2 linked regions of the Ovis aries genome follow. The protein of the gene in region 2 interacts with the protein of the main gene of each other region in a pairwise test. Links are inferred from orthologs where the notes say so. Each region holds a gene or a part of one and is shown on either strand. Other genes may lie near its edges. The genes, in order: KRR1 and RPS14.

Region 1 (15,836 bases), on a different chromosome or scaffold from region 2:
CACTGGGCAGAATACGTAGCCTCCCTCGTCTCTTCTTATAAAATTTTACTTTGTTGACGTACAGTTGATTTACAGTGTTGTGTTAGTTTCCGGCATACAGCAGTGATTCCGTTGTTCAGCCGCTACGTCATGTCTGACTCTTGCAGCCCCGTGGTCTGCAACCTGCCACGTTCTTCTATGAACCTACATCTCCCACTGGCAGGTGGATTCTTTACCACTGAGCCACCAGGAAGCCCAATTCAGTTATACATATAAAATAGCTGGATTCGCTAATCAAACTCCTAAGCCACCCTCCCCCACTCACCCTCTGGCAGCCACAAGTTTGTTCTCTATGTTTGTTTGTTTTGTAGATAAATCTGTGTCATATTTTAGATTTCACATTTATATGCTGGCATATGGTATCTGTCTTTCTTACTTCACCTAGCATAATTATCAGCTCTATCCATGTTGCTGCCAATAGCATTATTTCATTCTTTTTTATGGTCAGTTATATTCCGTATATATATATATAGGGCTTATATTGGGCTTCCCTCATAGCTTAGTTGATAAATAATCTGCCTGCAGTGCAGGAGACCTGGGTTCGATTCCTGGGTCAGGAAGGTCCCCTGGAGAAGGAAATGGCAACCCACTCGTTTTCTTGCCTGGAGAATCCCATGGACAGAGGAGCCCGGCGGGCTACAGTCCATGGGGTCGCAAGAGTCGGACACGACTTAGCGACTAAACCGCCACCATATTCCATATGTATTCCCTTTACTTCACACCCTCTCCAGCATTTGTCACTTGTAGCCGTTCTGACCAGTGTGAGGCGGCGCTTCACTACAGTTTTGATTTATATCTCTCAGCAGCAGCAGCAGCAACAGTAATGAGTGATGTTGAGCATCTCTTCAGGTGCCCGTTGGCCATTTGCATGTCTTCTTTGGATGAATGTCTATTTAGATCTTCTATCCATTTTTTGATTGGTTGATTTGTTATTGAGCTGTATGAGCTATTTGTATATTTTAGAAATTAAGCCTTGTGGGTCACACCATTTGCACCTATTTTCTCCCAATTCATAGGTTGTCTTTTCATTTTATCTGTGGTTTCCCTTTGCTGTGCAAAAGCTTGTAAGTTTGATTAGGTTCCGTTTGTTTATTTTTGCTTTTATTTCTATTGCACAGAATCTGTAGGTCTCTTGGTCTTAATCATTGCCTTCTAGACAAAATCCAGGTCTTTGCAGAACATTTTTTTTCCCAAGGTGAATTCTGCCATTTCACTGCAAGTCACAACTGAGTTACTTTTAGCTTGTTTTTGAAGTAGCAATTTTTCCCTCTTAATAGTACAGAATGCACAATTAAAGTATGAAGTAGTATAAGTGATTGCATTAAAAACATTCTAGAATTTAACTCAAAGAGTACTGTGCTTTTTAACAGGGAAAGATATCCCAAGGACTAATGTCTATTTTGGATATCTTCCATAGCTGTTATCAGAACCTCTACTATATTCCTTAGACTATTTTCTACAGTATAGAGTAAGCGGGGGCTAAATTTAATTTCTGAAACAACCTAAATTAACTTGGAGCCAAAGAATTTGAACATGTATTTTTAGTCGGAATTGAGGTGTTAGTAAAAAGTAATGTCTTTAAAGGGGGAAGTTCTTAACTTCGAAAATAAATGTATAGCATTAGAGGATAGGAGTCCATGAATTTGAATTAGAAAAACGTTACATCTTTTTCACTAACTTCTATAGAAAATATTTTTAATGAATTAACATTCCAGTCACATCAGCAATACTTATGGCTGGACAGCACTACTTGCGTCTTTATAAATGTCAGACATCTCATATCACATCCTAGTTGTAGTTCTCTCAAAACAGTTTGTATTCATCACTAAAATTAATTATTAGACTCCCTGCTGTGCTGCGCTAAGTTGCATCAGTCGTGTCCGACTCCTTGCGACCCCGTGGATTATAGCCCACCAGGTTACTCTGCTCATGGGATTCTCCAGACAAGAATACTGGAGTGGGTTGCCATTTCCTTCTCCAGGGGATCTTCCCGGCCCAGGGATCAAACCCCTATCTCTTACGTCTCCTGCCCTGGCAGGTGGGTTCTTTACCACTAGAGCCTCCTGGGATGCCAGACTCCTTGCTAGCTCTGATCTAATACACAGAGAAGTATGTTTGTATATCACAAGTATTTTTAACATGTTAATAATTATTTCAATTTAATTGGCTTACTTTGTAATCGTATGAATTTTATTTTAGCTATTTTAAAACTGTTTCGAGAAAGAACCTGTAGGCTCCACCAGGCTGCCAAAGGGTCCATGACACGAAAAAGTCAAGAACTCCTTTCCAAAAGCAGAGTTCCAAAAAAAGATTAGTGCAATGGCAAGTTCATTGAAATAAATGTACAGCCGCTCATCATTACTACTCTGAAGTTATTTATGGAGATGTAAATTGTTTGGATATTATTTCACTTTCTAAGCTGATCCTGGTCAGTTACTTAACAGAGTGTTAAGCCTCTAGGTATGGGAATTTAAAAAATTAGTATCTTCCCCATTGGATTATTGTGAAGATTGACTCATTCGAGGACACTTAGAACAGTGCCTAGTACATGAGTGTTCGGTAATTACTATGTTATCAATGTCACATCTTTTATGTGAAAACAAATTGCACTTAAGGAACTCCCTCATAGCTCTTGTTATTTTCTTTTGGAAGATGCTTACCCCAGCCAAAAGGCTCCTATCCAATAATAACCATGGAGGTTTGCTGGACTGAGAACAAAAATGTGGGTCATGAGAGCTTCTCTAAGATGGACAGTTTTATGGGTGGCAGTGATCACACAGGCGAGTCATTAACTAGAGAGAACATTTCGTTAAAATCAAACCTAGGTCCCATTGACTCTGATATCTGTACATTGTGGTTTTTGGCAACTTAATCTTTGAGCTGTAGTTTCCTTACCTATAAAACAGAAATAAAAATAACTTTCTTCCAGAGTTGTCTCAGGAATTAACTGAGATGATTAAGACAAAGGTTCCTAAACACAGGCACTTAGAATGAATTTGGCAAATATTAGCAGGCTTCCATTTCCGCTTCCCTCTCTCCACTTCTCTCATCAATCTTCTTAATTTGTGGACTTCAATCCTAGGATTTAGCCAAAAAGAAGACAGTACTAAGTTGTGTCTGACTCTTGCGATCCTGTAAACCGCAGCCCGCCAGGCTCCTCTGTCCATAGGATTCTCCAGGAATCTACTGGAGTAGGTTGCCATTTCCTTCTCCAGGGGAACTTCCCAACCCAGGAATTGAACCCAGGTTTCCCAGGTTGCAGGCAGATGCTTTACCGACTGAGCCACGTGGGAAGCCCAGTGTTTAGCCAAGGACCATGATAAACTGCACTGGGGGGGCGGGCGGGGCGGGGAGGACCGTTTTCCTGATGGATAGTTTTCTTCTTCTTCGCAGAGGCAATTACCCAACCTGGCCATATAAAAGAGGATCCCCGTGCAGTGCCTGCCCCAAGAGTGACAACTGTCTGGACAATCTTTGCAGTGAGTAAAAGAAACAATCTACCAATAATACAATGTGTTCAAAACTCGTAACTTCCCAGAGATCAGTCCTGAATATTCACTGGGAGGACTGATGCTGAAACTCTAAAACTTTGGCCACCTGATGTGAAGAACTTACTCATTTGAAAAGACCTTGATACTGGGAAAGATTCAAAGCAGGAGGAGACAAAAGAGGATAAAATGGTTGGATGGTATCACTGACTCAATGGACATGAGTTTGAGTAAACTCCAGGAGTTGGTGACTCAGGATAGGGAAGCCCAGTGTGCTGCAGTCCATGGGGTTGCAAAGAGTTAGACAAGACTGAGCAACTGAACTGAAGAATGAAAACATTTGTTTTATCCTAATAGCTCTTTTCAGGAAAAGGGGCATCAGATAGCAATCAAAGCAATGACTTACTGTCCTGGGAATGACTATATGTTCAAGAGAAATTTAAAGAAGCAAATATCCTTTATAGTTAGCACTAATCAGAAGAACAAATGACTCATTATGGGAAATTGTAGACCCAAGATTTCTAATTTCTGCAAGATCAAAAATGTAACAAAGTTAACCAAAATAATTCTGAATTGTGTTCAGGTAGAATTCTACCTGTCCAAAGCATTCAAGAATCAAATTTTCACCTACAGAACTGAATGAAATGAAAGTTGCAATGTAGCACTTTTCACTAGTAAGACAACATTTAATGAGAAACCGTGTAGAAGGTCAATGAAGATAACTTTCCAAGGCTGCTTTACATCACTTTAAAGTATTAATACACAGTTGGCCAAGAGTCCATTTGTTTTCTGTTCCAAACACATTCCTTCCCATCTTAGTTTTTATTTTTTACTTTTTGACAAGGTGTGAAGGGAACCCTCAATCAAGCCATTACAGTTGTGCGAACCCTCTACTGCTTTTGGGCCTTTACCTGTAACCAGCTGAACCTCTCAGGGCTGCAGGGCTGGCGGGGGCGGCCGAAGCAGGAGGCTGGAACGGGCTGAGTTTAACAGCATACATTTTTGTTTGGCCAAAGTGTTCTACTGCTTACATGTTTTCAAAGTCCAATTCCTCTCAACTATTTGTTCCCTTCTTCCAGATCTGTATACATTAACTTCTCATTTTCACTCCAGCCACATAGCAATATTTGACCACCCTGCTGAGCCAGTTATTTCTCTGCAGTTCAACCACTTTTTCTGAGAATCTGGAACAAGTGCCTGGCACACACTTGATAAATATTACCTATTATCCCCAAATTCATCTTCCCTCTAATCTCAAAACTTGTTTGCTTTGGTATTCTGGTAGCATCTTTATGCCCAAAGTTTTAGGTGATGTTTTTATGCTCAAACAATCCTCACAATGCTTCTTTAGAATCAGTGATGAGGACAATTATTTTAAGTTATGTTAAGAGTAATTTTACTGCTGCTATTGGTTAACCGTCTTTCCCACTAGACTGAATTCCAAACAGACAGAAGTTATGCCTATCTAATTCACCTTTGTAACCAACTGAAGTGCCTAGTCTGGCTGACAAATGATGACTAATTTGACTGCATTTTTTTTTTAATTATTCTATTTTAAAAATCTAGATGATTAGTAACAACAGCACCAGAACAATAACAAGAAGAAAACTTGTGGACTTTTAGCTTTTGATCTTGGAGATCTAGCTTGAAATGGTCTCGAATCTTGTGGGATAAAATTCATAAATTTAAGACTGCAGTCCAACAATAATTAAAAACCCCTGGACTCTTAAGACAAAGGAAAACACAAGCTACCTTGCAGAGGGGTAAGGGTTGAAGGATAAAGGCTTTTATCTACCAGATTCCATCTCTGACAAATTACAGCAAACACTGGAGGGGAAAAAAAACCTTTTCATAAATACCAATGGAGGCCAAATTAGGATGGTTTTGCAAAATGCACTGGGAATACCAATGGTACACAAGCTGATCTGAGCTAGTGCCTGTGCGTGGAGGATATCTGTTTCACTATTCAAGAGTTGGATGTTTAACATTTCAAAAATATATATATGTAAGAAAAAATTTAAGTAGCACATCACACCTTGATTTCATGGAAGTGCATGCCAAGAAAAGTTAAAGCAGCGGAAGCTTCGAAGGCAGTTCACCACAGACAATGCCCAGTCACAGGCATGCTGGCCAGAGACGCTCACGAGCAGGCAGAGGATTCCACCACAGGAGTCCAGCTGCAGCTGGCCCGGAACCAGTGTAGAAAAGGTGTTTAACCATTCATAAAACATATAAGAAGACTGTGGCAGATGTGGATTTTTTCCCCCAGGTCTTGGAATGTCAAGTGGAGAGGAATAGTTATGACTTTTGATAGCCAAATGTCCTATTAATAAGTTAATGACAGACTAGAACAGATCAGAGGACACTCTTTACTACTGATTATAGGATTCTTCTTCTCAGGGAGAAACTTAATTTTCAGGAAAATATTTAACAAATTGCCCACACTGATTATTACTAATACTTATTTTTAATTGCAATGTCTTATTTTTATTACATTTATTTTATCTGCTTATGTAAAATGAGTTTCCATTTATAGTAGTGGTATATAAAAAGTTTTATATAAACAAGATGATTTAAAAATATCACGTTATTACAGTAAGTACAAAAAAACTTGAATAATTCACCTTTGAAAATCACTGCAGTAAAGCCAAAGCACCAGTAAATGGCTATAGTTAAGAGACTTGGCTCTTAAAAAGAAAAGCCTCACCAGTCCCTACTCTTTTAATTCTTGTTTTCTTTCTTCTGATTTCACAGCTAACCCACAACGAGACAAAGTGACACGTATGTATATGAACCTTAAACCGTTTAAGATCTATGTGAGCTGTGTTACTGCATTATGGGGAACACCATTAATGAGTATATTTCATGTCTGTTTCACAGGTTATCCTATTCCAGACCGGCCGATATTTCCACGTGACAGATACACGTCTCTTTTTCTCTTAATTACTCCACCAATTCTAATACTGAGTGTTATAATTATCATTTGGGCCAAGGGCAAATATCCTCATTTATTTACTTGGAAATAATACAATCCAAGGAGGAAAAAAAACCCTAATTCAAACATGGTGTTTTTTGTTTCAGTAACTACTGGGGGTATTTCTGATTTGCAGCAAACCCTTACTCAAAAGAAGAAATGGTTCACGTTCACATTCCACTTTTTAAGAAGCAGCACTGTTTCCAAGCTCCCACAGCTGTGACTTGCAATGAGTAAGCTCTATCCCCCGTGCGCCTCAGCTTCTAAATATGTAAACTGGCAAAACTAGATTTAGGTGAGTCTGAGACACCACACCGGCCCTCGTGAGTAAAAACACTTCTAAATAACCTGGTGCATGCTGCTCCAACTCTACGTATCTGGTTTTCCACGTTCTCTGGCAATTTGATATCTTATGGCTTACTACTTCCTCAGACATACTGGAATAGTAATTAAGGGAATTAATTTAAAAGGCCTTGCTTTTTTGGATTATGAATTAATTTTGGAACAAAATGTAAATGAGATTACATTAAAGCACTTCCTCAAAACCAAATGCTAGGACATGATAATATTTAAAGTCTGCTGCTAAGTCACTTCAGTCGTGTCCGACTCTGGGCGACCCCACAGACGGCAGCCCACCAGGCTCCCCCATCCCTGGGATTCTCCAGGCAAGAACACTGGAGTGGGTTGCCATTTCCTTCTCCAATGCATGAAAGTGAAAAGTGAAAGGTAAGTTGCTCAGTTGTGTCCGACTCCTTGCAACCCCATGGACTGCAGCCCACCAGGCTCCTCCATCCATGGGATTTTCCAGGCAGGAGTACAGGAGTGGGGTACCATCGCCTTCTCCGACATTTAAAGTCTAAACAACCTTGAAAACTACCCCTAAAATCATGCTTAGGTAAAACCTGCCTGGAATAGATTAGATACAATGCATATAAACACATATATACCACTCTCTTGTATGAAATTTTTCAAAAAACATATGGACAATACAATAATTCATAAAGAACAGTTGTTTATATTAACACTGTAATAAAGAACAAACTCAGAAAAAAGTGATCAGGGTATTACTTCTCATGGATAAGGCAACTAATGTTGCCAACTACAGTATTTCAAAATCCTTTACAAAAGGAGATAGCTTAATAAATTTTAGTTCAGAGTTTGTGTTACTTTTTCTTCTTTTTCTTTTCATCTGCTTCCATTTTAAGCTTAACTTCTTCAGCTGTAAGAGCTCCCAGTTTCTTATTCTTTGCTTTCTTAACCTTTTCCTTGAGGGCAGCCACATCAATCTTAGTTTCAGTAGAAGCTAAATAAATTAAAAAACAATACACGTAATTCTTTAGATTTCACCAAATAAAACAAAGATTACAGAAATATGAATAATTTCAGAGTACTATTGTAATTGAAAGGTCGTATTATAAAATACAAAATACCTGCTAAAAGGAAAGTTAGAAATTTCTTCAAACTAGGAGAAGACAAAGTGCTTAAACAGGCTAATAAGAATCTACATGAAAATGACATTGCACTTTATCTGAACCGATTCCTGGACTCAACTATGCTGAAACTACATTTTTGTCCTTAAATTGTTTGAAATTATTATTTATATTCATTTCCATATTCTAGAACTTTACAGTACTCTTTTAAAAACTTAGTTTTCCAAATATTAGTTCAACGAATGACTAGTATTATTTCATTTAGCAGGATTTTGGTAATAAAGACAATAATCTGAGAGCGTCTGGAGGTCCTAACAGAATCAAACCATGCAGTTAACACGAAAAGTTTGAACAAAATAAAGAAAAGCAGCAGCGAAAAATGGCAACTTTTTCTTATCGTTTAAAGAACAGTATTCAGGACATAAAAGAACCACAAGATAAAATGTCAGCATGCAAACACCCCAGCCACTTGAGAGCAGACTTCAAGTCTCCACTACAATGGAACAGCTACACTTGGCTCAGTATTAAAGTGAGATTAAACTATGTGAACGCCTTGAGAGTACGTAACTGACCGACTCTACAGACTAAAAATTATGATGCTTATGATATTTTTAACTTTTATATAACCAATGATCTAAGAAGCAGAATACACTATTTTTTAAGTTGTTAACACTGATATATATTAACAAAATGGTAATGTTACATCCGGCTTAGACCAATAGGTGATGTACAATACTGGAACTTTATAATACTGGTGACCTCCCTCCCCTCACTGACTACTTCGGAGAGTTACTTTACAGAAGAGTACAAAGGTTACTAGGGGAAAAGAAAATGTAAAAGAGAAGGTAGGTCAAAACAAGGCCAGGAATGATGATATTTTTTCCGAGTGTCTTTTTAAGAGCCTCTAAGAAAGATATTCCTGCTATTTTGCTGGTGCTGTTTTAACCCAAAGTGATGAGAAATCCATGTTAACAATACAAGCATCAAGTTTTAAGTCACAGATTATACAAGTAAAGAAAGTATAAATTTGATAAGCTCTTTAAGGGGCATGACAGCAGAGCTCAGGGATCTCCCCACTCTATTTCTACAGAGGATTCACTGCTCTGGTTTCTGTCTTTCAAAACAAAGAGTCCTTCCTTAGCACAGCAGAGATCAGGAAGCAACTGTCAATCTGGGATACTCTCAAATAGACAGTGAAAGTCAAAGTGAAGTCGCTCAGTCGTGTCTGACTCTTTGTGACCCTGTAGCCCACCAGGCTCCTCCGTCCATGGGATTCTCCAGGCAAGAATACTGGAGCGGGTTGCCATTTCCTTCTCCAGGGGATCTTCCCGACGAGCTGGTACTAAATTATGGGTTATCTCAGTCACCCCGTCCCGAGGATTTGTGAGAAATGAAATGCTGAGAGAACTGATGAAAGATGTGGTTATTTCTTAACATGAACTCCGAGATGCAACAAACTCACTACGGGTTTACTTTTCCTCTAACAGACCTCAGCATCATAACAAGACTTAGAAAACAGCATTACCTTCCTTAGGTTTCTTTAGGTGAACTGGTTTTTCTTTAGGTGGAATAAAAGCTTTGTTTCTTTCCTCTTGTCTCTTACTAAGAGCTTCTGCTTGTTTAGCCTACATGGTTAACAAAGTTTTCACAGTTGAGTAAGAATCCAAAGTATCTATGCACTTTGCAATTAATGTTGCAGGCTAGACACAGTCTTACCTTTATTGCTTCCATTTTCTGTCTCTTCTTTTGACTTGCCTTCAAAAAGTATTCACCACTAGCCAATTCTTTATCAACCTGTTGAAATGAGTATTTACAATTACTTCAGAAATCATGTAGATGGGAAGTCAATTCCTAAGAAATTCACAGTGACCTTGAGGTAAAGACAGTAGGGTCGAAACTCTTACGTAAGGTAGTTGCCTAAGAAGAAGGAAACGTATTCTAAGCTGACAAGGATACACATACACAAAAGCACGTAGGTAGGAAAGTAGGTGAGGTGTCCATGGAATACTCAACCGACTGCTTCAGGGGAGGCGGAAGGTCAATGACTCAAAAAAGTGAGGAAAGACACTTGGAAAGAGTTTGGGACGTGAAGAAACATGAATGACAGGTAAGGGAGGTGGGACGTGATTTAGAAATGACTGAAGCTTCCTGAGAAGAGTGACGAGAGCCAGGTAACACTTTATAAAAGGAACAGAAAAAAGGAGATAAAACCCTGTTCTGTTTTGTTTTAAAGTTTCATTTTGTTCATCATACAAAATGAAAAGCAAGAACTGTCAGGATGTAGCGACTGAATACTAATTAGAGCAAGTAACAACTCAGTCATTAAATAGTAAACATACAATTGATCTATCTAAGGCAACCCTCTAAACTATTACTAAGCTCTCTACAATGACTACCTTGCTTAATTCTCAAATTCTCAGACAATTCTTTGAGACAGGTATGATCATCATCCTCATTTTATGTCGAAAGAAACTGGGGGCACAAATGTGTGAAATTATGCTAATTAACATAACCTCAGACATGCAGATGACACCACGCTTATGGCAGAAAGCGAAGAGGAACTGAAGAGCCTCTTGATGAAAGTGAGAGAGAGGTGAAAAATCTGGCTTAAAACTCAACATTCATAAAACTAAGATCATGGCATCCAGTCCCATCACTTCATGGCACACAGATGGGAAACAATGGAAACAGTGACAGACTTGATTTTCTTGGCTCCAAAATCATTGCAGATGGTGACTGCAGCCATGAAATTAAAAGACGCTTACTCCTTGGGAAAAAAGCTATGACAAACCTAGACAGCATGTTAAAAAGCAGAAACATTACTTTGTCAACAAGTCTGTCTAGTCAAAGCTATGGTTTTTCCAGTAGTCATGCATGGATATGAGAGCTGGACCATAAAGAAAGCCGAGTGCCAAATAATTGATGCTTTTGAACTGTGGTGTTACTTGAGAGTCCGTTGGACTGCAAGGAGATCAAACCAGTCCATCCTAGAGGAAATCAGTCTTGAATATTCATTGGAAGGACTGATGCTGAAACTGAAGTTCCAATCCTTTGGCCACCTGATGCAAAGCACTGACTCACTGGAAAAGACCCTGATGCTGGGAGAGACTGAAGGCAAGAGGAGAAGGGGACGACAGAGGATGAGATGGTTGGATGGTGTCACCAACTCGATGGTATGAGTTTGAGCCAGCTCCAGGAGCTGGTGATGGACAGGGAAGAGTGGCGTACTGCAGTCCATGGGGCCGCAAAGAGTCAGACCCAACTGGGCAACTGAACATAGCAAATAAGTGGCAAAGTTAAGCCAAACGAGACACTGCTGATTCAAGGAGCTTACAGTCATAGAAGAGGAAGGTAAGACAACTAGTGAGTACAGGACAGGGCTTCGTGGAGCACACCAGGTGTTACAGAAGCGTGCTTCACCGCCTGAGTCACTCACTACTTTTCCCCAACTAACACTTTCTTTCTGGCTTCACTTTATTTTCCAACGTAGAGCTCAAGATCCAACACTTACAGCTTTTTTTTTTTCACTATGATGATCATCATTACTTTTTCACCTCTGACCTTTCATCAAACCTTCCCTGAAAAACTGCAAACACAGGGCTGTGGGAAAGACAAGATAGTATAAAGGGAAAAAAAAAAGGGTTAAAGGAAAAACTTCAACATACAGCCAAGGGAGGGAATAATGAAGAAAGATCCTCTAGCAGACAGGTGAAGAAAGAACTCAAAGCACAAGCAAAGAATGGACTGGTGCAGATGGGGAAAAAAATGTGAGCCAAGAGCAAGCTGAAAGAGTTCTTGCCTGGTCATCTCAAATATGTGAGGGGTAAAAAGCAACGTCATCTACTGGGAGGGGAAGAGTGCCAGAAGAATTACGAGGACACAAAGCCGCCAGAGAATACTGCTGCAACCATCGGAGGCTGGCAACGTGGGCTTTTAAGGAATATGATCTGAAGAAGGACTTTCTTCAGCTTTGTTTAGTAGCCACACTATGGGGAAAGAGGTCAAGTTTTAGGACTGATGCAAGTTTCAGGGCTGCTCTGTCAGACAGGTGTGACAGAACAAGGGAGTATGAAAGGAAACAGCGACAGGCAAGAGAAAAGAAATTACGCCAGAAGACAGCTGACAAAATGGGAGGCATTCGTATCTTTAAAAAAAAAAAAAAAAAGGACAGATACTGGAAGTTAAGATTTCAAATCCAGAGCAAAATATATAGCACATGTCACATGAATGAGGCTAAAGCAGAACTGGAAGCACTCACGGCTGCGTCACTGACATTTTTTAACCGTGGAACATTCAGCGGCTACAGGCATAGATACACAACCAACCTCAACCACCTTGATGTCATTTTACTCTCACAGCATGAAGCTTCCACTCCCCACCTCCATAGTTAGTTCAAAATTAGTATATCTACACTTACCTTCAGATTCTTGGATCTCTACACACCCAAACACCCACAGAAATTCCACCTAAAACACCCTCAAAGTTTCTGACAAAACAGATTAAAATGCTTTCCCTCTCATGTAACAAAATTCAACATTTAATACTGACCTGACTTTCTGGCTGTGGTGGTGGGAATGGTGTATACTCTTTCTTAACAGTTTTCTTCTTTGGTTCCTTGCGTTTATTCACATTTTTGTGCTTGAACTGTGGCAAAAACCTTTCCCAACTTTGTGATCTTAACTCAGAGTCTTTCGCCAGCTCTCGTTTAATCATTAAAGTCTTGGGTCATGGTAATATACGAACAAAGTAAACACTTTAATTTAAGAAGTGACATGTTTCTCAACCTAAGACATTATAAACAATGTTCTTACAAACAATAAAATTAAAAGGAACAACTCTTAGCTGCTTCAGTAGGATTAAATCAATTCTGTAAAGAAAAAGCATATAATCTCAAATATGCATAACTAACCAAGTATCAGAAAACCATTAGAAATTTAGACTAAGAAACAGAATCATTAAAATAGAGATGAAAAATAAGACTCAGTTTTTCATTAAAACCTCTGAAATTCAACTTAATTATACAGAGACAGTGCTTAGTGAAGTTTCCTACAAGCAGGAAGCTTTTAGTAGCACATGATATATCATTCATAGGGAAAGAAAAAACTAAAGTTTCTCATGATCAATGAAACCAGCGTTTTCACATTTCAGCCAACTCCACCTGAATTTTATCGACACTGACACATCACAGGATGCAAAGTAGGCATCACACGCAAGACATGCTCTCTTTAATGTCCCAATGAAACGCAAAATCATTTTTTCACCCCAATCTAAGAGTGACTTTTCAAATTCATCAAATTCAAGGACTGTTTAACAAATATCCATCATAAAACATCACATACCATGGTTATGTCTCCAAAAACAATCACTGAATGTTATGCATACAGGGATATAACATCTCTCTCAATGAGCCTATAATTTGAGTGTTAAATTCCAAAACAAGTTTTAATGCAATCTGAATTATTCCAGACTTACAGAAAATGGCAGAATTCTAAAAGATCACACTTTTAAATACAGTCTGTGGGCTCCTTAGCCTAAGAAAACTGAATTGGTACCCTCTACAACAAATGGCAACCCACTCCAGTAGTCTTGCCTGGAGAATCCCCTGGACAGAGGAGCCTGATGGGCTACAGTCCACGGGGTCGCAAAGAGTCGGACATGACTGAGCGACCTCACTTACTCACTTACAACAAATTCTGTGAAGCATATTTTATTTGTATCAGAACTGAATCACTACATTACAGAGCTCCCTTCAACAGCTTTCTTTCACACAATACTCCTCAAAGTTCAAAGAAGGAACTGTAGGACTGGGATAGTGTTGAGTGGGCTTCACTCTACCCAAATAGTTCTGCTTTATCTGTTTTGTATATTAGACTTTCATAAAAGATTTATTTTCAAGAAAAGTTTCTGTAGCTAAAAACAATTTGATAACCACTGTTATACTAATGAACAGTGAACACTCACTTTAATATTGTAAATTGGATGAATATTCTTCATAGTGTCTAGGACTACTTTCCGAACCTGAAATTTGCAAAGAAAAATGAATCAGTTATTTATAATGAAGATTTTAGTGAACTAGGTAGAAGAGGATTAATATATTGCAAAATAACCTACGAACCAGGCAATGGCTACGAAATTGGATATACTAGTCCCTTCAACTGTTCTGAGTGGCTTCTGGATCTTTCATAATAGTTAACCTCACTTGGATACAATGAAGTCTCTCAATTCTACTGCTAAAAAAGTGATACGCAGAATTAACACAACAGTCTGGAGCTGTGCAATTTAGGGAAAGAGAGCTGGACTTAGAGTTAGAAAATATGTGAGCAAATGCTGGGACTTCATAGAGGAAAGTCACTTAATTTTCCTCCTGACTTCAGCTTTTGAATTCTGTAATACATTTGAAATAAAACCACCTTAAGGATCTGTTGTAAGAATTAAATAATATACTTAGACTCCACAAAACTATGAAATACTCAAAACGCCTAAGTTGTTGTTGCGCCATGTGAAAAAAGCAGATACTTATGAGAAAGAGGTCCAGAAGAAGTATTATTAAAGGCCCTGGAAAGGAAGTAAGAGCTCACAGCCAGATACATACAACAAAAGCCTCAAAAGGAGCTTACAGAAACAGTATGTGCTCTATAGATTTTCTCATAACATGTGACAAACTAATATTCACGAAACATTAACATATTAAAACTCAAGGAAAATACATCTTAAAAGAAGTCTTCTGGGCCTGACCTCTACTGGCTGTTACTGCGAAGAACAGATCTGCTCAGTTCTCCAGTCATTCAAACCCATGTGTCTTCTAATGTTTGCTACAGACTGAGAGCTTAAAATACCCACTTAAAACCTGTAGTAGGGGAAGTAATGATGAATTCAGAAATGAATCTCTCTGTGGTTACCAAAAGTTAGCCGTGATATGCTAAGGTTCAGCAGTGGCTATTCCCTCAAATTACATGAAGAATTTACTAATGAAAATCAAACAAAGCACAATTCACTTAAATTACGAAACAATACATTATCCAATGAACTATTATAGTATACCCATATTCTTTCATTTATTCTCTGCTAAAACTAATTTAAGAGCATAAATCTCACCTCTTTCAAGCCACTAAAAGGTCCAATGGCTGAAACCGTGTTTCCCTGAACCATAATGTAACAGTTTGTCAAGAGTTCCAATGCCTATATCAAAAGAGCAAAAAGTTGCACTTCAGTACACTGAAAAACTAACAACAGAGGAAGACATACTTTTTCACTAATAAAAAGTACCTTCAAAGTAGATCCTTTGGGACCAATAAGCCGTTGTCTTCTTTTTACAAATCTTTCTTTATTTCTTACTAAAGAACCTATTTTAATGATGTCACATGCAACATCATCCTGAAGAATTCGTACTGCCTTTTGGGAAAATGAAGAAAATAGCTCATCAACATTCTTTACAAGTACAAATGTTTTCCAAGCCAAGAAATTAAAGCACAAAAATGAAAACGTTTTAGTGGGGAGGGGGGTGGCGGCAGTGATATATGTTGTCTCTAATGTTGCTGCACATAAAGCAAAGTCTAAATTTAATTCTAAAGTTACCTGTTCAAACGAAACACTCCTGGCTAACAGTTTGATTAGGTCTCTGGCCCTAATGATGATGTATGGATCGAATGTCTTCTTTGTAGTACAGACAGTCATGCTGCCCTCAATCAGGTCCAGGGTTGCATTAACATGCTACAAAAGGAGCGAACAACAGTTATCTGAAGATGAATTCAATTTTAGATGATTACAGAGCCTGTCCTAGCCTAACTATTAATTTCTGTGCCATTAAGATATCTCAAAATCCTTTAACTCTCTCCTTGAAGAAGCTGGAAAGTTAATGTAAATAAGGGATACTTGATTACGTTTAGATTTCAAAGAATATAAGAA
Region 2 (17,420 bases):
TCCAATGATTAGGAAGCAGTTTTATTTCCTCTTAGCGGCTCTCTTTTAGAAAATGCTCCTTTAACTGATGCTTAAATCTCTCTACAACTCCTACCTACCCACTGGCCAAGTTCCACCACCTTAGGACTACATGCAACAAGACAGAACTCAACTTATTTGAAGTCCCTTATACATCTTCTCTTTGGACCACTTAAGGTCAGCAATGCTCCCCCTGAGGCCATGTTTTGCAAAACGTTTCCCAGGTCTTTCATTAAGAGACTGAGAATTGCCTTGGTAGTATTCTCCTGGGCAAAAGGGAGCCATGACACCATTACCCAGGTCAATGGAGTTAACTGGAAGAAAAACCACTGTCAAGACCTCAATTGTAGGTGGCTTCCCTGGTGGCTCAGAGAGTAAAGAATATGCCTGCCATGTTGGAGAACTGGGTTCGATCCCTGGGTCGGGAAGATCCCCTGGAGAAGGGAATGGCAACCTGCTCCAGTATCTTGCCTGGAGAATCCCATGGACAGAGGAGGCTGGCGGGTGGCGCCACAAGAGGCAGACACGACAGTGACCAACACTTTCACTTTCTCCAAAGAGGACTTGCTCTTCTACAAAGAGCCCAAAGACACTCCCACCTGTGACCACATTAGCTCTGAAGTCTGAGGGTTACTGGGTTAATATGAAAGTCAAGTTCAGTTCCCTCACCTCGGGGCTGTGGTTGGGGCTGAGAGCAGAGCCCTTGGGGGATTAAGCTCACTTAACCTCCTGGCACTAACTCCAGTATTTGCCCCAAGTGTTACCCCAGCTTTCTTTCCTATAGCTCTCAGCTCCCTAAAGCATTTTATCTTGATGTCCTTTTCTTTCCCATTTCTTCAATGCTCCTGGGAATTTCCTTCACTTTCTTAGAACCCAAGAATGCATGTTTGTTTCAACGTATCTAGAATCTATTAGAAAAGTCCTTCAACTGACTAAACTACAGAAGGTGAAGCCAATTCTTTCAATGATTCATCGAACAAGTCTTTATAGAGCCCCTATTTTTGCAGACTGGGAGCTGGGCTGGCAGACACTGTATAAGACACTCTCTGCCCTCTCGGAGCTAGATTAGCAGGGCAATATGCTATTAGAATAGAGGGAGACTAGTGGTACCACGAGGGGAGTAAGAGTGATGGGGGAACTGAGTGGAGAAGCACCTCGAGGGACATCCCAGAAGATAACTTTGAGACTGATGAAAAACTGATTCTAACAAGTGAGTGGTGGGTAGTGAGGCCAAGCTGGGGAGAGAAGATACTGGAGGAGTCAGACTGAAGGCATGCAGAATCGGCAAAGAGAAAGGAACCAGGTTTGGTTTGGGCAGAGAGGGTGAAGGTATGGCAGAGTTAGATGAAATACTGGAGATTCATGGAGAGTGGATTCTAGACTGAAGATAAGAGTGAGGCATGGATAAAATAGCACTCGTATGTGTGACAGGATCCAATTAATTTGAGGTCACACAGCTGTAGTGTGGTCTGGGCATAGGCATGGGCCAGAGGGAAGACAGGGCTTCCTTGGTGGCTCAGTGGTAAGGAATCATTCTGCCCATGCAGGAGATGTGGGTTTGATCCCTGGGTCGAGAAGAGTCCCTAGAGAAGAAAATGGCAGCCCACTCCAGTATTCCTGCCTGGGAAATTCCATGGACAGAGGAGCCTGGCAGGCCCCAGTCTATGGGGTCACAAAGAATTGGACATGACTTCAGTTCAGTTCAGTCGCTCAGTCGCGTCCAACTCTTTGTGACCCCATGAACCACAGCACACCAGCCCTCCCTGTCCATCACCAACTCCCAGAGTCCACCCAAACTCATGTCTGTTAAGTCAGTAATGCCATCCAACCATCTCATCCTCTGTCATTCCCTTCTCCTCCTGCCCTCAATCTTTCTCAGCATCAGGGTCTTTTCAAATGAGTCAGCTCTTCGCATCAGGTGGCCAAAGTATTGGAGCTTCAGCTTTAACATCAATCCTTCCAGTGAACACTCAGGACTCATCTCCTTTAGGATGGACTGGTTGGATCTCCTTGCAGTCCAAGGGATTCTCAAGAGTCTTCTCCAACACCACAGTTCAAAAGCATCAATTCTTTGGCACTCAGCTTTCTTTATAGTGCAACTCTCGCATCCAGACATGACTACTGGAAAAACCATAGCCTTGACTAGACGGACTTTTGTTGACAAAGTAGTCTTTGCTTCACTTACGACTAAACAAAGAACAGAGGGAAGACAAGATCTGTTAGGAGAAAGGCTGTTATAGGAGCTCAGGTAAGGGAAAGGAGTGAGAAGTAGGGACCATCTCTATGGCCCTGACTGAGGCTGCACTTAACAGTCAGTGGTTGGGCTTCCGCCATCTGCAGTCTCAGGTGGGCAACAGGCCAAGTCCTGCCCTGACTACCTCAGTGGCCAATAGGCCACTTACATTCCAACCTGGACTGCACCAACTAGCTCTTTGCAACTTGCAAACAAAACCTAGGAATGAACTGCTTTCAAAAATTCCTGATTACATCCCTGGTTACCAGGAAACAGCAGGACAAGTTGCAAAGTCCCATCACAGGAAATAAAAAGAACGCTTCAGTGAGCGCCAGCATCTTCCCACCAGGATTCCAGCCAGCTGTCATTCATGATGCCTGGCAGAACTGAACAGGCATTAAGAATAGGAGCAGTTTCTTCAGTGCCAGATTAAATGCTTTAATCTTTCTTGTGATGAACTATGAGGCTGCCATTATCACAGGAATTTTCACTAAAGGGCTGAGCGGTTATGTAACTTGCCCAAGGTTGAGTCCAAATCTGGGGAACTGGGATTTCCACCCTGGAATACCTGCCTCTTGCAGGTCTGTGTACCATGCCCTGCCTTTGAAACCAGAATGACAGTAGAAAAGCACCCTCACTTCCCCCAACCCCTGCAATGTTTATTTAGGGATACTTTTAGATTTACCAAAAAGTTGCAAGATACGACATTTCTGTATATGACTCATTTGGTTTCCTCTAATGCTAGTATCTTACATTTTTAACAATTCACTTGTCAAAACTAAGGAGCACAGGTACATTACTACTAACTGGACTCCAGATTCAGATTTTTTTTTGGCTGCACTGGCCTTCACTGTGGTGTGCAGGCTCTTCATTGCAGGGTGTTTGGCTTTCCTGTTGCAGAGCATGGGCTCTGGAGCACATGGGGTTTGTTGCCCTGTAGCATGCAGGATCTTAGTTCCCTGAACCAGGATCAAATCTGCCTCCTCTGTTAAGGCAGATTCTTAACCACTGGACCACAAGGGAAGTCCCTAGGTTAGTATTTATTAGTTTTTACACTATTGCCCTCTCAGGTCCAGCATCCAATGCCTTGTTATTCCACCTCCTTCAGCTCCTCCTTGTTTAACTTTTTACAATTTAAACGTTGATATGTTGTAGAATGCCCTCTAACTAGATTATGGGTTTCCAGAAATTGAAAATTCAGTTGAAGTATTCATCATCTTGTCAAGTCAAGAGTACTGGTCAGATAAACATGATTTATCCAAGTGTTCAGCAACCTTAACAGTTCAGCCAGTTCAAACTTGATAGTTCATCTCCCCAAAGCTAACATCTTCCATGTTCTATTCTTTGGAAATTGAGTCACTAAGCCTAGCCCACAGGTAAGTTCACTTACTGGAAGGGGGATCAACTATTTTTAGTTTTTGTAAGATTTATGCCTTCATCTTAAGATCACCTGTATCAGCATGGACTCATTTTATACTGTGTTGTAATTACTCATTTTAAAGATGATAAACATCGACTCATTTATGGCTAATCCATCACACACAGAAGTTGGTAGGAGCCATGGCAAGACTCACCTCTTCAAGGCTCTTCCAAGTGGGATGGGAGTCGTTAAGTAGATGCCTACCTGGGAAATGGATACTAAACAGCAATAAAAAGGAATGAAGTACTGAAACATGTCTGCTGGGATGAACCCTGAAAGCACCATGTCATTGTCTTGCCTCGGAGTAGAAGTCACCATCACAGGGCCCTGGGCTAATCCTCTGCATAACATTCAGGACCATCTGGTGCCAATGGGTACTTGGAGTTGGATGCAGGCTTCCGGAAAGGACAAACTTTTTTATCACTGATGAAAATAGGGCTTGGTGTGTATTGGTGGGTGACTGAATCTTTATGTACTTTATGTACTGATGTAGAACAACCTCCTAGATCTGCCAAGTGAGAAAAGATACAAGACAGTGTACTCCCTTTTTTGCACAGAAGGTGTGGGGGGCGAGTACCCACCCACATGTGTTTATATATGGCTGTCTGGAAGGCTCTTCTGTTCAGGCTACACTGGGCTCAACAGTTTCCACTCCACTCCCGCTCTTTAAGAATTGGTCCATTTTTGGAATCAACATCTCCACTTTCAAAACAAGGTCTCCAAGACCTTGGTCTCTTTAGATGACTGAGGCAACTAATGCCACAACCAGTAGTGTTGAGAAGACCCAACCGTAGCACCATATCTTCACCTCTCCTTCAGCTCCTCCTCAGGAAACCAGTTCAGAGAACACAGGCTCTCCCTGTCCCAGGGCAGGGGCTGGATCAACACCTCGTGTTCCTCTCTGACAGGTTATACCTATTCTCTGAAGTAATCTATCTATTAATGGCTGCTGGTTTTTCAATGCATCCGTGACCTCAAGACAGCCCCATACCCTGGTTAAATACAGACAGAAAGAAGGAATCAATTACCCCCAACCAGTGGCCCCTACATAAAGGAGAGACGACTGGAGTCAAAAACAGCTTACATCAAAGCAATTTATTAACAGAAAGCAATAATTTGAGGAGTCCTGTTCACAGACGGCGACCACGGCGACCCCCCTTCCTGCGGGTGCTGTCGGAGGGGATGGGGGTGACATCCTCTGTGGGGAGGAAGAGAACACGTCATTGTCTGGAGCTGGGTGGGAAGGGGAGCAGGCCGCCCGAGGCCCGTGGTCAAGCAGATCAGCAGTGGATCCTACTGCTTCACAAGGAAGTCCTCAGTATGTAGCAGATGGGTGTGGAGCTGCCTCCTCAAAACTCCTCACGTAGTTTGAACTCAACTTCCGTGAAGGGGAAACGGAGGCTCAGACAGAGCAGGCACCTTGAATAGGATGTCAGAGGCAGGTGGCAAATCCAGGTCTCTGATACCTAGCCCACTGACTCTAGTGGAAAAGTCCTCTCAAACTGAAGAATAGCTCCATTTTAATTAGGTAAAAGAAGAGTGAAAATGTTTTGGAAAAAACCTCTAGAGAGATGGACCATCAGGTCGAGGGGATCAGTACACACTGCCACAGAAATAGCAGGGAAGGGCTAACATTTTCTTCCTAAGAGCTATAAATGGTCAGATCACAGACACAAGGGTATAAACACTATGCAAGTATAGAGATCTGCTGCGATTCTCAACCATGGGAGCCACTGCCCACCCCCCACATATTTTTGTCACAATGACTGGCCAGCTCTACCAATACACAGTAGTCAGCCCCCCCAAATATTGAACACAACTCCCTTGAAAACACTAAAAAGGACAATTCATCTCCCATTAGTTCCACCAGCCACCATCAGGCACAGAAGTACAGAAATGACACGGTGCTGTTCCAACGCAGGACATTGAGGTCAAGGTGGCGTGAGTGCTCAGGTAGAGAGTTTATGTCACTCGGTACCTCTTGCACACCCCATTAACAAATCTAACTGCCAAGAGTTAGCAGACCAGGGCCTATATCCACTGCACAGACCGCATGCTTTCTGGGGTCACACTTGAAAGGAAACTAAGCATCAGCCAAGGAGGGGTACTCACCAATCCGCCCAATCTTCATCCCTGAGCGGGCGAGGGCTCTGAGCGCTGACTGGGCCCCTGGTCCAGGAGTCTTGGTCCTAGAAAATGAATACCGAAATTAAGAAAAGCCTTTGGCCAAGTCATTATTTGCTGCATACTGCCCCCGCACCATGGGCCACAGTTTGTGCTCCCTTTCGTCACATGCTGTGATTCTAAGTCTTTTTGGTGATCTGTCCTTTCCCACCCTCCCAAGATCAATGGATCACTTAACAACTTCCTGTTTGGTCTCTTCCCAACATAGCGGCCATCTTTAACAGACAAACCAACCTCAACCTCAAACCATTACTATTAAAAAGTTTTCATGCCCAGAGATTTGCCAAGCTCATTTCCATTCCAAGACCATTGTCCCTGGCTGTAATACTCTCGTCTGTCCTTCCTTCACTGGACCAATTCCTAATATCACAACATTAGGTCTTCATTTAAACTTTATTATCAACCCAGCCCTGACACATTTTTGCTTCCCAACATTTACTGCAAAAAGGAACCATACGCTCCCCTTCTCTATTTTTTTTAAAGCCTGACTCTGCCAGCCTGAGAGCCACAGAGGATGGAACAATACCTGTTTTCCCCCATCACTCTTTTCTAGTACGTAGAACATAGCACTTCACATGCTGTGTATGCTCAGTTAACACAGTAAGTTGGGGCAGGGGTCGTGCAGACCAAATACAGGCACACCTCACGTAATTGTGCTTCACAAATCATGCCTTTATAAAAAAAGTCCGTTACATTTTCTTTAAAGCAATAAAGTATTTTTAAATTAAGGTATGCTGCGTTTTTTAAAAAAGACAGGATGCTACTGCACACACAATAGGCTACAGTATAGTGTAAACGTAACTTTTATACACACTGAGAAAACAGCGCTGCTCATTTTTACTGGGATATTTTTACTGCAGTGGTGTCTGGAACCAAACCCACAGTGTCTCTGAGGTATGCCCATATTAATCACATAGGTACCCATGATGCCTTGCCCAAGCTCAGGGACCTCATTCTCCCCCGAGCCTTACCTATTCCCTCCTGTGGCCCGGAGTTTGATGTGGAGGGCAGTGATCCCCAGCTCCTTGCATCTCTGGGCTACATCCTGGGCAGCCAACATGGCAGCGTATGGAGAGGACTCGTCTCGGTCAGCCTTCACCTTCATCCCACCAGTGACACGGCAGATGGTTTCCCTGGGAACAAAAGCACAGGATCCTCTCTTTCTTACCCATCAAGGATTCAGAGTGCATATCACACCCTAAAGATAAAGAGCAGTACTGCCCAGGAAGGGCAGCGGATGAAGGTCAATCTGAACATCATCCTGATCCCACAAGACTGCCTTAGGCTCTGCAGTGAAGGTGTTCACAGATCCCAGATTAACACTGCATCAACATTTTACTCTTAGCTTTAATCTTATTACTCGAGTAATAGGAGTAATTCCTCCTCATTTTACATAACAAGTCCCCAGGCTGTAAAGGCACAAAGTGTACCTCCTTTTCTCTTAGAACTCCAGCATCTAGATTACAGCATCTGTGCACTAATCAACCAAGCACTTATCCTTATCTGAACATCTTTAATGAAAATATTTCCAGAGATCCCCTTAAAGTGCTACTCAGTTCCCCGGTCATTTCTAATCCCAGCCCTTGCTAACTGGGTCCTGTGCCTCCCCACGGGGGTAACTCACTTGCCAGAAAGATCGGTGACGTGCACAAAAGTGTCGTTGAAGGATGCAAAGATGTGGCACACACCAAATACATTCTCTCCTTCAGCCACCTGAGGGCCGAGGCTGATGACCTGTTCTTCCTTCTTTTCCTTCCCCTTGCGAGGCGCCATCTCTTAAGGAGAAAAAAAACAAATTCCAACGTTAAGGACAAAACCCCAAATGTTTACAACTCTGGGAGTTACTTCCTTCCCGAGAAAGGTGAGCAGGACACTGAAGAGCTCTGGCTCTCCCGCTCCAGGCCGGCGGGAGCAGAAATCAGGGTTCCCAGGGGACTCCCAACCCACCCTGCCAAGACCAGAGTGCCCCTCATCTCTGGCTTCAGGGGCAGCAGGCGCGTGATAGGTGTTCAGCAAACAACGATGTGCAATCCCTACCCTCAATTTCTGGCTCTGAGAGACCTGCACAGAAACTGCAATGTGCCCGACTTAGCAGTCACTCGGACTTAGGAAGCACCTAAGGAAAGGCCATTTCCTCTGCATTCCCTTCTTGAATCCTCACTACATCCCCACGGGATTCACGAGACGATTATTCCTACTTTCCAGATTCGACAACTCCAGAGATCAGAGGCCCGGGATGAGACTGCCCAGGAAAAAACCGGTTAAGGTGGGAACTCCATTAGACCAACTTATTACCCAATCCTTCCCAACCACGGTGTGCTGCCGGTTAAGGTAGTGGTGGTCTTGGCGCCGGGCCTACGCCTTCAAGGCTGGATCCGAACTCACCCACACTTAACAGCTTTTTCCTAAACCAAGGCGGCCGCCTCCCGAGACAGGGCGCGAAACAGTCTGGGTCAGCCCGCCGTGCTCCTCTCGCCCGGCACGAGGTTTGTTTCCCGCAGAAAGACCTCAGCCCCAAGCCCTTGGCCCCGATGAGCCCCCGTGCTGCAGGATGCCAGCCGATTTTCCTTGTCCAGGATTCCTACCTGAGCGTCTTCCCCAGACTCCGCCACCGGAAAGAGAGGGTGGAAGAGGGCGGGGCGACGGGTCACGCTCTTGTCCCGGAAGTGCACGTCTGAGGTCACGGGGCGAGGCCAGCTCCCGGAAGACGCCGATTTTAGCGTTTCCAAGGAGATTAAAACGCCTGGAGAACACAGCTTACTGAAGGGAGCGCCTAAGGAGGTAAGGGCCTGGGTATCTTGACGAGCGGTCTGCTTCTAAGACTGAAAGCAGCAGCCACACCCCGTGGGTGTGGAAGGCCTGCGTTCTAAGATGGCGGTGACCGCGGCTAGACGAACTTCCACCACCCTGAGCCCGGAGCCTGCCTAGCCTGAGGGCGGCAGCTCCCCTCGCGGTGCGGAGGTAAATGACAACAGTATTTGTCTGTCGTCTCTGACTCTGCAATCCCTTCGACTGTAGCCCTCCAGGTTTCTCTGTCCATTTCCTCCTCCAGGCACGGATACTGGAGTGAGTTGCCTGCCATTCTCTTCTCTAGGGGATCTTCCTGATCCAGGGTTCGAACCCCTGTCTCCTGCATTGCAGGCAGATTCTTTACAGTCTGAGCCACCAGGGAAGGCCTTTTAACTACTGAGTACTTGGCAAAATAAGAATAAATTATTCAATATTTGTTATTTTATACCAGCCTATATTCATATGCATTGCTTCATTTGATCGTCACCACGTTAACAGATAGATACTATTAAATAGATACTGTTTGACTTTTCTTTTAAAGAAAGAGATTTTCAAAAACATTTTATTGGAGTATAGATTTTGGGGTTTGGGGGGATATAGTTTATTTACAGTGTTGTGTTAGTTTCAGGTGTCCAGCAAAGTCATTCAGTTATACAGATATTCATTCTTTTCCAAATTCTTTTCCTCGTATCGGTTATCAGAATACTTAGTAGAGTTCCCTTTTCTATTCAGTAGGTCATTGTTTGTTTTTACTTATATATAGTAGGGCCTGCAAGCTCTGTCAGTTCAGTGGTGTCCAACTCTTTTTCAGCCCCACTGCTCGTAGCTCACCAGGCTTCTCTGTCCATGTGATTTTCCCCTCAAGATTACTTGAGTGGGTTGCTATGCCATCCTCCTATGTATTATTGTGTGTACCTTAATCGCAAACCTCACTTATCTACCCCCCACCCCCAACCACGTTTTCCCTTTGGTGACCATAAGTTTGTTTTTTAAAAATAATCTTACTTATTTATTACTTAGTTTTTGGCCACACTGGGTCTTCCTTGTTGTATGAGGGCTATCTCTAGTTTCTGAAAGTGGAGGCCGCAGTTCCCTGCAGAGTGTGGGCTTCTCATTGCAGTGGTTGCTCTTCTTGAGGAGCACAGGCCCTAGAACTGGGGCTCAGTAGCTGTGGTGCACTGGCTTAGTTGCCTCTAGGAATGTGGAATCTTCCCGGATCAGGGATGGAACCTGCATCCCCTGCTTTAGCAAGCAGGTGGATTCCTATCCACCAGGAAGTCCCTATAAGTTTGTTTTTGATATCTGTAAGTCTGTTTCTGTTTTGTAAATAAGTTCATTTGTATCATTTCTTTAAAAAAATTAGGAACTTTCCCCAGTGGTTCAGTGGTTAAGAATCTGCCTTTCAATGCAAGGGATTCAAGTTCCATCCCTTGTGGGGGAACTAAGATTCCACATGCTGCAGGGAAATAAAGTCCAAATGCCACAACTCCAGAGCTTCCCACAACTGGAGAGCCCATGTGGCCCATGACCCAATGAAGAGCCTGCATACTGCTACTAAGACCTGACACAGCCAAATAAATAAATGTTTTTAAATAAAAGGAGTCTTAGCAGCTTAAAAAAATTAGATTCCACATATGAATAATATCATATGATATTTGTCTTTGATTTACTTCAGTTCAGTCACTCAGTCATGTTCAACTCTTTTCGACCCCATGAACTGTAACACGCCAGGCCTCCCTGTCCATCACCATCTCCTGGAGTCCACCCAAACCCATGTCTATTGAGTTGGTGATGCCATCCAACCATCTCATCCTCTGTCATCCTCTTCTCCTCCTGCCCTCAATCTTTCCCAGCATCAGGGTCTTTTCCAATGAGTCAGCTCTTTGCATCAGGTGGCCAAAGTATTGAAATTTCAGCTTCAGCATCAGTCCTTCCAATGAACACCCAGGACTGATCTCCTTTAGGATGGACTGGTTGGATCTCCTTGCAGTCCAAGGGACTCTCAAGAGTCTTCTCCAACACCACAGTTCAAAAGCATCAATTCTTTGGTGCTCAGCCTTCTTTATGATCCAACTCTCATATCCATACATGACCACTGGAAAACCATAGCCTTGACTAAATGGACCTTTGTTGGCAAAGTAATGTCTCTGCCTTTGAATATGCTGTCTAAGTTGGTCATAACTTTCCTTCCAAGGAGTAAGCGTCTTTTAATTTCATGGCTGTAGTCACCATCTGCAGTGATTTTGGAACCCAGAAAATTAAAGTCAGCTACTGTTTCCACTGTTTCCCCATCTATTTCCCATGAAGTGATGGGACCAGATGCCATGATCTTAGTTTTCTGAATGTTGAGCTTTAAGCCAACTTTTTCACTCTCCTCTTTCACTTTCATCAAGAGGCCCTTTAGTTCTTCTTCACTTTCTGCCATAAGGGTGGTGTCATCTGCATATCTGAAATTATTGATATTTCTCCCAGAAATCTTGGTTCCAGCTTGTGCTTCCTCCAGCCCAGCTATTCTCGTGATATACTTTGCATATAAGTTAAATAAGCAGGGTGACAATATACAGCCTTGACGTACTCCTTTTCCTATTTGGAACCAGTCTGTTGTTCCATGTCCAGTTCTAACTGTTGCCTCCTGACCTGCATACAGGTTTCTCAAGAGACAGATGAGGTGGTCTGGTATTCCCATCTCTTTCAGAATTTTCCACAGTTTATTGTGATCCACACAGTCAGAGGCTTTGACATAGTCAATAAAGCAGAAATAGATGTTTTTCTGGAACTCTCTTGCTTTTTCCATGATCCAGTGGATGTTGGCAATTTGATCTCTGGTTCCTCTGCCTTTTCTAAAACCAGCTTGAACGTCTGGAAGTTCACGGTTCACTTAGTATGATGATTTTCAGGTCATCCACGCAATCCATGCAGATGGCATTATTTCATTCTTTTTCATGGTTGGGTAATACTCCATTGTATGTATTTACCACTTTTTCTTAAGATTATCATTTTAAAATAATTTTTACGTATGTATTTGTGACTGTGCTGGGTCTTTGTGGCGGTGCAGGCTTTTCTCTAGTTGTGTTGAGCGGGGGCTACTCTCTAGCTTCGGTGCTCGGGTTTCTCACTGTGGTGGCTTCTCTTGCTGTGGCGCGCAGGCTCTAGGGCGCATGAGCCTCAGTAGACGCAGCTCCTGGGCTCTGGAGCACAGGCGAAATAGTCGTGGCACATGGGCTTAGTTGCTTCACGGCACATGGGCTCTTCCCGAATCAGGGATCCTATCAGTGTCTCCTGCATTGGCAGGCGGATTCTTTACCGCTGAGCCTCCAGGGAAGCCCTACCACTTCTTTATTCATTCCCCTGTCAATGGATGTTTAAGAGGCTTCCGCATCTTGGCTGTTGTAAACAGTGCTGCAGTGAACATTGAGCTGCATGCATCCTTTTGAATTCTAGCTTTCTCCAGATACATGCATAGGAGTGGAACTGCTGGGTCATATGATAGCTCTGGTTTTAGTTTTTTCATGAACCTCCATACTGTTCTCCATAGTGGCTATACCAATTTACATTACCACCAACAGTGTAGGATGGTTCCCTTTTCTCCACACCCTCTCCAGCATTTATTGTTTGCAGACTTTTTGATGATGGCCATTCTGACCAGTGTGAAGTGATACGTCATTATCACTGATTTGCATTTCTCTGATAATTGATTTGCATTTCTCTGATAATTAGTGATGTTGAGCATCTTTTTATGTGCTTTTTGGCCTTCTATATGGCTTCTTTGGGGAAATGTTTATTTAGACCTTCTGCCCATTTTTCGATTGGGTTGTGTGTTTTTTGACACAATTCCTTGTTGGTTACTTCATTTGCAAATGTTTTCTCCCATTGTGTCAGCTGTCTTTTCATTTTGTGAATGGTTTCTTTTGCTATGCAGAAGACTGAATTTAAGGAGTTGCCATTTTTTAATTTTTGTTTTAATTTTCATTATTCTAGGTGACAGATCCAAAAAGTATTGCTGTGATTTATGTCAGTGTTCTGCCGGTGTTTTCCTCTAAGAGCTTATAGTGTCCAGCCTTACATTTAAAGAAAGCAATTTTAACTGAAATTACACAGTTGTGGGCAATTTGGAATTCTGACTTCAAAGTCTGTGTTTAATAACTACTTCCATATATCCCTCTAATAACAGGCTTGAAGGACCTTGAAGGATTGGAATGTATAGACATGAAGAAGGGACAAAAAGTAGGTCATGTGTTGTGCTCTGTGTGTGTGTATGTGTGTGTGTGTGTGTGTGTATGCAGAGGTGTGTGTATATTAATATATCAATACATGCATGTACATATAATGCCTACATAGTGAAATATATATATATAATTTTTTAACAGAATGAGCAATTATGTAACATAGCATGTAGCTCTTTGTGTACTGTAATTGATGCCATTGAACAACTTGGGCTTGATTTCAGGAAGAGCTTTTTTAAAATTCATCTGTTTGTTTTTGGCTGCACTAGGTTTCCGTCGCTGCACGTGGGCTTTCTCTAGTTGCAGTGAGCGGGGGCTGCTCTGTAGTTTTGGTGTGCGGGTTTCGCATTGCGGTGGCTTCTCTTCCTGAGGAGCGCAGGCCCTAGGGTGCTCGGCCTTCAGGAGTGGCGGTATACCGGCTGAGTTGCTCCGCTGCATGTGGGGTCTTCCTGCACCAGGGATCAAACCCGTATCCCCCGTATTGGCAGTTGTACTCTCAGCCACTGGAGGAAAACCCAGGGAAGAACGTCTTTTTAAAAATGTAATGCCCTCTTTCCCCTTTATGAAAAGTAATTAATTAAAGAAAACCCATAGAATAGAAATATTCAGAATGGAGAACAAGAAGAAAAAGGAAACGAGTCTTGCCCACCACTATTAATACCTTGGTGTGTGTTCTTTCCAAACACCATCTCTGCACACAGGTTGGCCAAAACATTAGTTAAGGTTTTTCCGTAAGATGTAAGATGTGGAAAAACCTGAACAAATGCTTTGGCCAATCCAAAGCATACAGAAGAGGCACATTTTTTAATTTTTTAATTGGGGTATAATTGATTAACACAATGTTGTGTTAGCTTCAGGTGTACAGCAAACTGAATCTGTTATACAAATACAGATATCCACTCTTTTTTAGATTCTTTTCCCATATAGCCCGTTGCAGAGTACTGAGTAGACTCCACTGTGCCAGACAGTAGGTCCTTATTAGTTATCTATTTTATATATAGTAGTGTGTATGGAGGCACTTCTTTTTTAAAAGAAAATAACTTTACAACATTTTCCCCCGATAGTATTAAAAAAGCATGCTCATTATAAACAATCCTCACACTACAGAAAATAAATAGCAAAAAGTAAAAATCATCTCTAAATTCTTTCTTCTCGAGATACCACTATTATCAGATTGGAGCATCATTCCAGAAATAATTTTGTTTACTTGTATCTATACCTATAATATTCAGTCTTATGTAAATGAAATTGTGTTCTGTATGCCACGTGTGTTCTGTATGTGACTTTTTTTTCTCACTCAACATTGTGGACATCCTCCCAAAACAACTAATAGAGAGATCTACAACATTTTTTCACAGGTATTTAATATTTCATTTATTATTTTGAATATTAAGTGCATTCACACAAATTTAAAAATTAAACATACCAGAGCTCTTCCTCTGGCATTGCCCTCTCCACTCTATCCTAGGGCCCGGGGTGCTAAGTTGTCCTGAAAACCTCAGACTATGTCCCTGCCCTCTGGTTCTGGTTAGAACTCAGAAGAGACTGGAAGGGAGATGCAGAGGGCAGACTTATGTCCCTGGTCTCTGTCAGCAAGCTGTCTGGGTCCCGTGACTTGGGCTTCTGTGGGATGCCCCTTCTCTGTTTTCAGGTCTAGAAATACTCTCTCCATTCTCGGGAGGTGACATTATCTGCTGTTAACGTCCCAGGGGCCTGTGGTTTCCCTGCATTCACGCTGCTACAACTTTATACCTAATTTGAGTATTAAACTCTTCTCCCTTTGCTTAAAAAAAAAAACCCTACTCCTCTCCTGTCCTCAGAAACCCAGTTCTCTTCTTTGCAAGCAACCAGGAATCGCTATAGGTCTTCTCTGTAGCTCAGTTGGTAAAGAACCGGCCTGCAATGCAGGAGACCCTGGTTTGATCCCCTGGAGAAGGGATAGGTTTCCCACTCCAGTATTCTTGGGCTTCCCTCGTGGCTCAGCTGGTAAAGAATCCACCTGCAATGAGGGAGACCTTGGGAAGATCTCCTGGAGAAGGGAAAGGCTATCCACTCCAGTATTCTGGCCTGGAGAATTCCATGGACTGTATAGTTAATGAGGTCTCAAAGAGTCAGATACGACTGAGCAACTTTCACTTTCAGGAATCCCTGTATCGCATTATTTTTTTTTACTACTATATGGTATTCCTCTCTATAGCTGTCTCACTGTTTATCTAACTAGTTCTGTATTGTAGGACATTTATTTCCAGAATTTTGAAATATAAACAGAAGTGTCACAAACACAGTTGTGATATTCTTTCGTTGGGGTAAATTGCCAGCAGTCAAAGGCAATATGTACTTTAAGTTTTGATATTTGTAGCTAAACTGCCCTCCAGAAAGTTGTTATCAATTTTCACTTCTGTTAAACTGAGACTCTAAATCTACCTCCTTACTGTATTGTATTTCTTCTGTAATTAACAAAGTCAGACACATCTTTATGGATTGTTTTGCACATTTGCATCTCTTTTGTGATTTGTCTGTTTATATTCTTGGAAAGAAAGAACCATTTTGTTCTGTGGTATTGAGTTCCCCAGTGGAGAAGGTATGTTAGCAGAGACTGGAGCATTATGGAGTAAGTTTCTGCTCTGGATAGAGTTGTCTTAAGGATGTCCCTGGTGGTCCAGTGGCTAAGAATTTGCCTTACAATGCAGGGGACATGGGTTCGATCACTGGTCAGGCAACTAAGATCCCATACGCCGGGGATCAACTAAACCTGTGCAGCACAGCTACTGAGCTTTTGTGCCACAACTAGAAAGCTTGTGCCCTGCGATGCAATATCCTGCACGCTGCAGCTAAGACACGATGCGGCCAAATAGACAAATAAAAGAGTTGTACTGAACACACAGATCTCTAAACCTCAGTGCGGGAAGGCTTGATGGAGGGAGCACAGCTTCATCTTGTGGCTGGAGGCAGCCCACAGTCACCTCGGGACAAATCTTTCCATAGGAAAGTGCCAGAAGTCTTCAAAGTCACTGTTTTCAGATTCCACTGTCATTTTTTCTTTCTTTTTTTTTTTGAAGTCGCTCAGTCCAACTCTTTGCAACCCTGTGGACTGTATAGCCCACAAGGCTCCTCAGTCCATGGGATTCTCCAGGAAAGAATACTGGAGTGGGTTGCCATTTCCTTCTCCAGGGGATCTTCCCGACCCAGGGATCAAACCCAGGTCTCCCACATTGCAGTCAGACGCTTTAACCTCTGAGCCACGAGGGAAGCCCTCCACTGTCATTGTCTATTCAACATGTTTATTATTTCAACAGAGAGTTATTGGTTGTGGGTCCTTGGGCAAAAACTGGAACCTCTCTGGGCTTCAGCTTTGTCATCTGTGGAGTGGGATAATTTTAAAGAAATGTATACTGAGAGTTATATTTTTACAGGGGGCTTAGTGCCAGGCTCTGAGACAAAGCAACAGTGGCTCCAGGGTAAGACTTGAGGGCAGTGCAGGAATTCCCTAAGCGAAGGCAGGAAGAATGGCCTGAGCATGGGCCCCAGTGTATGAAAAGGTCCCGGGCCGGGAAGGCGTTTGGAGGGTTGAAGGAATTAAAACCAGCTGGGCTGTTGTGTGTGAGGGCGGAGGGACGGGAGGTCAGGCTGGAGGAATGGCCGGAGCCACCGTCTGCGGGCTCTCACCTCCCTTCTGCTGTGTCTGTTTTCCCCATCCCAGCCCACCCCACGTGCCATCAATACTGTGAGCACAGGGGCTATGTCTGCCAGCACCTCCCTTGATGATTCATGCCTTCGATGAATGCTTATTGATCACCTAGTATGTGTCTGGTCCTGCTCTAGATAATGATCCATTCTATCTTGGAGTTCACCTTCTGGCAGGAAAGGCAGACACACTATTTAAGGTAATTTTCTGTTGTGTTAGAAGCTAACCAGCACTATGAAAAAAGAAGTCCAGCAAGGGAAAGTGTGGCGAGGTGTCTGAGAAAAGGGGGCGGGGCAGGTAGGAAAGGGGATGGGGCATTTGCAGAATTAAATAGAGAGGCACTGACTTCCCAGGTGGTCAGTGGCTAAATACTCCACGCTCCCAACGCAGGGGCCCTGGGTTCAATCCCTGGTCAGGGAACTAGATCCCACATGCTGTGACTAAGACCTGGCACAGCTGAATAAGTAAATTAATTTTTAAAATATTTTTTTAAAAATGAGAGAGCAGAGTAGTCTCCTTGAGAGATTTGAGCAGAGGCATGAAGGAGGACAGGGGGCAAGCCTTCCCTTTATCGTCAGTGAACTAAGGGAAGACCATTACTGGCAGAGGGAAGAGCGTGTACAAAGGCCCAGAGGTAGAAGCCTCAGTGACATATTGAAGGACGAGCAAGGCCAGCGTGGCTGGATTTGGAGGGAGTGAGTGAGGGGATGTGGAGATGTAACAATGTAATGATGAGGGAAAAAAATGGTGGAGGGACATCCCAGGTGGTCCAGTAGGTAAGAATCCGCCTGCCGATGCAGGGGACATTGGTCCCCTGGTCCGGGAAGATTTCACATGCCATGGGGTGACAAAACCCACGAGCCACAA

Evidence for each region.
Region 1: the proteins of RPS14 (region 2) and KRR1 interact in binary tests that used the Homo sapiens proteins (3 or more experiments, as listed by UniProt). The link is inferred for Ovis aries from reciprocal best matches to the Homo sapiens genes RPS14 and KRR1.

What each region holds. Positions count from the first base shown.
Region 1 is NC_056056.1:111,514,278-111,530,113, forward strand, and holds the end of KRR1 (KRR1 small subunit processome component homolog), read right to left. Parts: intron 15,642-15,836; coding exon 15,507-15,641; intron 15,324-15,506; coding exon 15,198-15,323; intron 15,111-15,197; coding exon 15,027-15,110; intron 13,950-15,026; coding exon 13,893-13,949; intron 12,651-13,892; coding exon 12,480-12,650; intron 9,726-12,479; coding exon 9,648-9,725; intron 9,557-9,647; coding exon 9,457-9,556; intron 7,805-9,456; coding exon 7,665-7,804; 3' UTR 6,554-7,664; coding exon of another isoform or gene 6,282-6,553; 3' UTR 5,976-6,281; downstream 1-5,975. Other genes in the region: GLIPR1 (glioma pathogenesis-related protein 1), read left to right, coding at 3,433-3,518, 6,282-6,553. UniProt on the Homo sapiens protein: Part of the small subunit (SSU) processome, first precursor of the small eukaryotic ribosomal subunit.
Region 2 is NC_056058.1:59,532,630-59,550,049, forward strand, and holds RPS14 (small ribosomal subunit protein uS11), read right to left. Parts: upstream 8,479-17,420; 5' UTR 8,241-8,478; intron 7,631-8,240; 5' UTR 7,629-7,630; coding exon 7,480-7,628; intron 6,989-7,479; coding exon 6,827-6,988; intron 5,861-6,826; coding exon 5,784-5,860; intron 5,091-5,783; coding exon of another isoform or gene 5,074-5,090; exon of another isoform or gene 4,870-5,073; coding exon 4,802-4,869; 3' UTR 4,752-4,801; downstream 1-4,751.